Linked DNA regions of Cricetulus griseus. The protein of the gene in region 1 purifies or fractionates together with the protein of each later gene. This does not show direct contact. Links are inferred from orthologs where the notes say so. Each region holds a gene or a part of one and is shown on either strand. Other genes may lie near its edges. The genes, in order: Cdc25c and Sufu.

Region 1 (4,555 bases):
CTATTCTTCCAAAGGATCCAGGTTCCTTTCCGAGCATCCATATGGTAACTCATAACAGTCAGTAATCCCAGTTCCAGGGGATCCAACTCGCAACTATACTCTGATCTCTGAGGATACCAGGCATGCATGTGGTACACATACATGTAAGCAAAAATATTTATACACATAAAAGTTTAATAAAAATCTTAAAGTTAGTTTTCTCTTTAAAGACTGTCCCCCTACCTGTTTCATCAAAGTCAGCAGAAGTGGTAAGATGAGAAGCAGACATCTCTCCATTGCTAAGATTTGAAAGATCAAGGCAACGTTTTGGGGTTCCTCTGTTGAGACATAAAAATATATCAAGATTTCCATTAGGGAGTACTATCCTAAAAAAGGTAGAGATCATGTCTTCACTCTCAATTACTACCACAAAGATCTAAACAACATCCAAATAAATCTGCTATTTGGAAATAGCTCAGATTGGGCTGAGAAAAGCAATCCCCTACTTTTTTCTCTATTACAGTAATGTAATCCCAGCACCAGGGAGGCAGACACAGGTGGATCTCTGTCAAGGTCAGCCTGGTCTTCAGAGTGAGTTCCAGGACAGCCAGGGCTGTTACACAAAAAAAACCTGGTCTTGAACAAGCAAAAAAACAAAAAACAAAATCAAAACAAAAACAAAAATGTGAGACTAATTTTCTTCTCACCAACATATGGAGATGGGATTTATTTAATGAGAATCTAAAGGGATCTTTTTATAATTTTTACCACATTTTTTTGTATGAGCACATACTTGTGTGAAGACAACTCCAGGAGACAGGGGCTCTAACCTGGGCCCATCATGCTGAGCCATCTCACCTGCCCAGTAAATAGGATCTTGACCTCACATTCTCTACCCCGTTCACCCTGAACACAAATTCAATTTCTCCTCGGAATCTCTACTATTCCTCAAATCCTGTTTGCTACGAGGTGTAAAGACAATATGACTAGACTCTAAAGTACAACACTAAAACTGATACAATTAAAGTGACCAACTCATAAAACATAATAATAGAATTTTCAGAGTTCTTCATAGACATCACATTGATTCTGGCATGACAGGAAAAGATTATTCCTGTTAAGATAGAAAATGATTTTTCTTATTATTATTTGTTTGTTTGCAATAAGGCCTCACTCTGGAGCCCACTAGTTGTCTTGAAATTTACTAGTAGCCCAGGCTGAACCTGTGGTCATCCTGACTCAGCTTCCAGAAAGGTGAGATCAGAAACATCCTCCACCAAGTCCCATTTAGAAAAAGACACTTACGGGGGGGCGGGGGGGCCCTAAAGAGATGGCTCAGAGGTTAAGCGCACTGACTGCTCTTCCAGAGGTCCTGAGTTCAATTACCAGCAACTACACAGTGGCTCACAACCACAATTCAATCTGGTGCCCTCTTCTGGCATAAGGTAGAACAATGTATATGAAATAAATAAATCTTTAAAAAAAAAAAAAAAGACGTTTTTTATTGTTTGTTACATGGAAAGGAAGCCCAATGTGACTCAAAAGAGTCACACATTCAAGGTCATGGCTGAGACAAACCCTGAACCTCGAAACAGTATAATTCTGAAAACAAACCTGTTCATAAAACCAAAGACAAGGTATAAAACTAAAAGTTAATTTACCGGCTGGAGTGATGGCTCAATGGTTAAGAGTTTGCTGTTCCCCAGGGTTGGGGTTTGCCCACGCCCTTAATCCCAGTACTCCGGAGGCAGAGGTGAGAGGATCTCTGAGTTCAAGACCAGCCTGGTCTACAAGAGCTAATTCCAGGACATCCTCCAAAGCCACAGAGAAACCCTGTCTAGAAACAGCCCCCCCCCCCAAAAAAAAAAGCTTGCTGTTCTTCCAGAATACTGCAGTTAGGGCCCCAGCACCCACTTAAGGCAGAGTAACCACCTATAACTTCAGGCAGGTACAAAACTCTGACCCTCTGAGACCACCTATAATCACAAACACATACCCACGTTTGGAACACACACACACACGTCTACACATCATTAAAAAATAAATCTTTAAAAAAATAAATTTACCCAGACAAAATGCTTAGGTTTGTCGAGTCGAGAAGTTTGTCTCCTGGAGATTTGGGGAAATCTGGGAAAGAAGTGTTTCTTTCCAAAAGTAGGTTTAACATCTTCCTTTGATTGGACCTAAAACTGGGTGCTGAAACAAAACTTCCCTCTTTTCTTGCAGATGGAAAGGGTCCTGTAGACATGACTTCGGAGTCTTCACGGAAGAAGAGGGGTGGCTATCTAGGAGAAAAACACTACAGATACTCAGCTTTCCCAACCTCTCCGCCCTTTCCAGTGCCTGCCTAGGCCCGGGTGGAGGAGCACCCCCCAAAAGGATCCCCAAAGGATCAAGTATAACACGCTGGAATGTCACACTGCTCAGGGCAAAAATTTACAGAGACCTGGCAAGCTCAGGCCTTCAAAGGAGGAACGGAGAGAAGACTGGCTTGATCCGGATCGTTCAGCTTCACACTCTTGGCCAGAAGAATTGGATCTACCTAACGCGATAAGGCTATTCGGACCTCCGGTCCCCGCAAGAACCCTGCAGGGACAATCGGGTGTCCGAGATTCCCGAACGGACACAGCTCTCGGCTTACCTTCAGTTTAGAGGCAGATTTGAATTTGGAGAAAGAAACTCCTGCAGAACTGGACGGAAGCGAAGACTCCAGCGAATGAGAAGGAATCTGAGGAAGAGAAGAGGGTCTTCGAGTTAAAATGGTATCTAGTTAGCTCGAGGTCCAGATTTGCTGCTTCTCTCCGGAATTGGCAGAAGGGCAAGACCAACAGCCATAGGCCTGACCATTCAAACCTTCCGCTCTCTCAACAGCCTATCACTGTCCTTATGCCAGTAGCGTCAGCCAATCAGCGTGCGAGACTAGGACCCTGCCCCCTTACCAATCGCTAGGGTCGTACCTGGTCGACTAGGCATCTCCGCCACACAGAGAGTCTGATGCTCATTGGCTCTCCCTCTGGCCAATCGTCACACCCTTCAAGTACTCAATTCCCCCAGCCCCAGCAACCCCGGGAGATTTGAATCGAGCCCCGCTAACGATGACGGTCTGGAGGAACTATTCTTGCGTGAAGTGTTTTCTTCTCCTTGCTTCTTTCTCGCGTCGTTTCTCTTGAGTTTTGTTAGCTTTCGGCTGGAAATGGAGCATTTGCCGCCAGTGTGGCAGTTGTTGGGGCGTGGCAGGTGTGTATTGATGCTGAGCCGCCCCTGACCCATTCCAAGAGGTTTTCTGGGTAGAAATTCCTTTTCAGGGAGAGTAGGAGAATTGAACGTTTTGACGTAATCCTCACGACATTCTAAAGGATCTTAAACTTTGGCTATTTGTGCGGCTTTGAACATTAACAAAATTGTATTTATATGTGGGGAGAGGTGTGGTTTCATGCTTGCAATCCCAGCACTTGAGAGAGTGCGAATAGGAGGACAGAGTGAGCTCCAGATAACCCGGGGCTAGAGGGAGACACTGCTAGGAAGAGGAGGAGGGGGGCAGGAGGAGAGTTATTATGGTAGTGGTAGTGGGGGTGGTAATAGGAATGGAATCCAAGCCTTGGGAACGCTGGACAACTACTGTCATTTAGCTGATACTACCCAGTCCAAGATTTTTTTTTTCTTTTTTTCCGAGACAGGGTTTCTCTGTATTGCTTTGGAGCCTATCCTAGCACTCGCTCTGGCCTTGAACTCAGAGAGATCCACCTGCCTCTGCCTCTGCCTCCCGAGTGCTGGGACTAAAGGCGTGAGCCACCACTACCTGGCTCAAGAAATTAGTTTTAGACTTATTTTTTAATTGTATGTGTGCAAGTTGGAAGGTCAGAGGCAATCCCTCAGTACTGGAGTTACTGGCAGTGTGAGCTGCCCAACATGGGAGCTAAAAAAACCAAACTCTGCAAGAGCCATACATGCTCTTAACCACAACTCTCTCCAGGCCCTGAGCCCGAGAAATTCTTAGGTTGTTTTTCTTCTTTCATATCTTTTGCGAGTGGGCGTGAGTATAGATAAGATAATTGGCATGACTAGGAGTGACGTCTGGGTGGGAAATTTAATGTACATACTAATCACCTGGAGATCCTGAGAAAGTGGATTCTGATTCAGTAGGTCTGGGTATGAGACCCCAGGGCCATACTCTTGAGAAGCAAAGCATTAGGCTGTACTTTTTGTGTGTCATTTATCTTAAACTTGTCTTCAGCTTGAAATCCCTCCACCTCAACCACTTGAATTCTGGGATTACAGGCATGTGTAGTCATCCAGTTTCCTGCACTCTGCTTCAGAATAGATTTTACTTTTTTTCTTTTCTATAGCTTTTTTTAAATTTCATGTATATTCATGTTTGCCTGCATGTAAGTCTGTGTGAAGGTATCAGATCCCTGCCCTGTAGGCACTGGGAATTGAACCTAGGTCCTCTGGAAGAGAAGCCAATGCTCTTCTGTTGATCCATCTCTCCAGCCCCTTTTCCTTTTCCCCTTTAATGGCTAGTTGAAGCACGATCTTGGCATATAGCTCTGGTTGGCCTCAAACTCATGATTCCCCT
Region 2 (3,813 bases), on another chromosome or scaffold:
GGTGCTTTAGGCCATTAGAGCACATCTTTCCCTAAGTGTCAAGCATGATTTTCAACATTTATCTGAGTGTGGATGATAGAACAGCACTCTCTGAGCTTGGGTATGAGGCTGTTTGGTTCTTGCCATTCCCTGACTCCTCTTAAGGCCTCTTCTTGATATGCCCTCTCCTGGGAGACTGTCTGAAGGAGCTATAGTGTGCTGGCAGGTGGAGCAGGACGTGGAGCACAGTGTCACTGCTTGTTGCTCAATGGACTGAGGCTGCAGCAAAGGCTCTTGGGGATTTGCAATAGGAAGTTGGAGGGAATATGGAGCCTGTATTTTTTAGGGTTCTGCAGTCATAATGGGGTCCTTTTCTTTCTTCTGTCCTTCCCCAAAATGTTTCTAAATACAACTGGTTATGGATTTAGTCAAGTGATTTGGTGATGGTGCATGCACACCTTTAATCCCAACACTTTAGAGGCAGAGGGGGATCTCTGTGAGTTCCAGGTCAGCCTGAACTACAGAGATAGTTCCAGGACAGCCAGGCTACACAGGAAAACCCTGTCTTGCAAAACAAAAAACAAACAAAAGGCAGGCATAGAGACTTGGCCTTTTACCTAACTCACTCAGGTGAGAGCTAAATTATTTGTAGTGACTTTCTTTCTTATGAGTTCTATAAATAACTTAGCCTTTTCTTTTCTTTTTCCCCAGAGAATAAGGATTTCTGCAAAGGCTAATAACATCCTGGCAAAGAGGATGAAACCAGACTTACTGGTTTTAAAATAGGATTTGAATTGCATGGTCCTGGCACGCTTGCTGGGATCTCCTGTACCATGTCTTTTATTTGGTTGTTAGCGGTCCCTCAGTAGTGTAGCCCACATGCAAAGTGTACTCCTGCCTATGGTCCAGGGCCAGGCAAAGATTCTACAGTCTGTGGAGTACAGTCTGTGGTTGCTCACATGTGGAGTTCATGGGCTCAGTACACACTTTGTTCTGCTGATGGTTTCCATTTAGTGTGCTTCTCAAGTCTACTATGCTTTCCTGTCCATTCTTAAGGAAAACAGTTTTGTTTGTTGCTTGTTTTGTTTTGCTTAAGCACTAATTACTAAAAGAACTTTTATTGAATTAAATCTCTAGTGAGGTAATGACTGAATATCTTCTTCAACTGCTTCTCTGTTGGATTTATGGGGAAATTTAATGTGAGCCTTGGGAGCATCAAATTGTGAATTGTCCCAGCTCTTCTTTGAGACAAATGACTCGGATGCTCCTTAGCACGCAGGTGCTCACAGGGTCAGCCTGGTTCATTGCTTCAGTGCTCCGCGTAGAGCTGGGCTAGCTGATGTTTGGACTTTGTCACTCTCAGTGAATGAGCTTTGATCTGTGCAGACCAGAGGCTTTGTGTGTATTTAGAAGAAACAATAATAGAGGCACAATCCAGGCTTTCAGGAACTAGCTGTCTAAGAGACAGGCGTAGACTGATACCTGTACTGCCAGGAATGACGTCCATTGGGCATGCTCTGTATAGTCATTCAGCAGAAGCCGCAGCCACTGCTTAGCTGATGCACCTCTTACCTTGAAGCCTGGCATGTTGTCAGGCCCCATAGAAGACTCCAGCTGGAGTCAGCAACTTGAAACAGGAGAGAGCAAGGCGTGCAACCAGCAAGTGTGCTTCAGAGGGCAGAGAAGGGGGCTTCTTGGTCATGAGGCGTCAATAGCCTCAGCTGCTTCACCCGTGGCTCGTTGCTAAAGAGATTTTTGCTGCCCTTTAGTTATCTTTTGCTTTAGGTCCTTCTAGGATGGGGCTTTTGGGTTTGTAGAGCAGAGCCTCTTACTTGACATTTTCTGGTATCCAGGTTTAAATTGACACCTTATATTTTGTCTTTTGCAGGTTGGGTGGTCCAGACCCATTGGATTATGTTAGCATGTACAGGAATATGGGGAGTCCTTCTGCCAACATCCCCGAGCACTGGCACTACATCAGCTTTGGCCTGAGCGACCTCTATGGTGACAGCAGAGTCCATGAGTGAGTGTATGCCACCTGTCTTTCCTTGATAAGTCCATTTCTTTGGCTTTATTGAACATGTGTGATGTTCTGTGGACATGTTAGTTCTACTAGGTGACACTTCCCAGTGTTACCTCTCTGTTTGTACTTTCTGCTTGTGCTATGTAGACCTAGCTGGTATTGAACTTGTGCTTGTAGATGGCTTAGGTTGCTCTTGAAATTCTCCATCCTCGCACTTGAGCCTCCTGCGTGGCAGGGGTTGTAGATATGTGCAGCAAACTTGCATTCATCTGTGCTAGCATTGTCCACTTCATTTTTAGCACTGATCTGCTTCTATTCCTTACCCTTTTTGAGGCTAGAGAGATGGCTCAGCCATAGCTCAAGTGGTTAAGAGCACTGGCTGCTCTTCAGAGGACCCAGGTTCAATTCCCAGCACTCACAGGACAGCTCACAACTGTCTTAACTCCAATTCTAGCAGATTCAGTATCTTCTTCTGGCCTCTGTAGGCAACAGGCGCATAATGGATACACAGACAAACATGCAGCCAAAACAACCGTACACTTAAAATAATAGAATAATTTAAAAAATTTCTTACTCTTTCACTGATTTCTCTTTATAATCACCTAGTATATGTCTTAATTCTAAAATATATATTTGAGAATTAATATATATATATATTATATTTTCATATATATATTATATATATATATTTTTTTTTTTTTTTTCGAGACAGAGTTTCTCTGTATGGCTTTGGAGCCTATCCTGGCACTTGCTCTGGAGATCAGGCTGGCCTTGATCTCACAGAGATCTGCCTGCCTCTGCCTCCTGAGTGCTGGGATTAAAGGCGTGTGCCACCAACACCCAGCTCTAAATTTTGGTATTTTAATACCAAGCAAAAATATAATTAACTTAGTATTTAATCTTCCAAAATTGCAATTAGAATAATTATAAAAGCTAACAACATTTTTTTAAATCACTGATTATATGCCAGGTACTCTTCTATTTATTTTATACTTATGTGTCACTAATGAATTTAATTTTCAGCATAACATTGTAAAATTGGAAGGTGATAATATGTGCCCCACTTAGTATGAGGAAATGGAAACAAAGAGCTGCTATAACATAATATTATTTGTCCACAGGGTGAGGGCCAAGATTGATTGATTGATTGGGTGATTGATTGAGAGCCAGGTTAGATGTTGATAGTCTGGCTCCACAGGTCAGACTCCTTCAGGATCCTCAGGCATAGTAGCCAAGTGCTGTATCATGGAGCTACATCTTCAGTTCAGTCTATAATCTGGGTTCTTTTGAGACAAGTTCTTGCTATATAGTCCTGACATGCCTGGAACTTACTATACGAAAGTATTTAACATAGCAACATGGAAGATTTTAAGTACTACAATAAATCGGGGGGGGGGGGGTTATCATCTTCATTAACATATCACCCTTGTAGATGGACTTTTCTTTCCCACCTGCCAGTTCCCAAATAACCGACACAGAGACTCAATATTAATTATAAATGCTCCTCTGATAGCTCAGGCTTATTACTAACTAGTTCTTTTTTGTTTTTTGGTTTTTGTTTTTTGGTTTTTTTTTTTGGCTTTTCGAGACAGGGTTTCTCTGTGGCTTTGGAGGCTGTCCTGGAACTAGCTCTTGTAGACCAGGCTGGTCTCGAACTCACAGAACTCACCTGCCTCTGCCTCCCGAGTGCTGGGATTAAAGGCATGTGCCACCACCGTCTGGTTACTAACTAGCTCTTACAACTTAAATTAACCCATTTCTATTAACCTATGTATTGCCATGTGACTCATGGCTTTACCTCTCCTCTAGCA

Evidence for each region.
Region 2: the proteins of Cdc25c (region 1) and Sufu purify together in Homo sapiens (affinity purification with mass spectrometry; 4 studies listed by BioGRID and IntAct, counting the BioPlex papers as one, with this or other methods). This does not show direct contact. The link is inferred for Cricetulus griseus from reciprocal best matches to the Homo sapiens genes CDC25C and SUFU.

What each region holds. Positions count from the first base shown.
Region 1 is NC_048595.1:202,742,747-202,747,301, reverse strand, and holds the start of Cdc25c (M-phase inducer phosphatase 3), read right to left. Parts: upstream 2,827-4,555; 5' UTR 2,621-2,826; intron 2,265-2,620; exon of another isoform or gene 2,261-2,264; 5' UTR 2,228-2,260; coding exon 2,046-2,227; intron 318-2,045; coding exon 223-317; intron 1-222. UniProt on the Homo sapiens protein: Functions as a dosage-dependent inducer in mitotic control. Tyrosine protein phosphatase required for progression of the cell cycle. When phosphorylated, highly effective in activating G2 cells into prophase.
Region 2 is NC_048596.1:15,195,546-15,199,358, reverse strand, and holds part of Sufu (suppressor of fused homolog), read left to right. Parts: intron 1-1,867; coding exon 1,868-2,002; intron 2,003-3,813. UniProt on the Homo sapiens protein: Negative regulator in the hedgehog/smoothened signaling pathway. Down-regulates GLI1-mediated transactivation of target genes. Down-regulates GLI2-mediated transactivation of target genes. Part of a corepressor complex that acts on DNA-bound GLI1.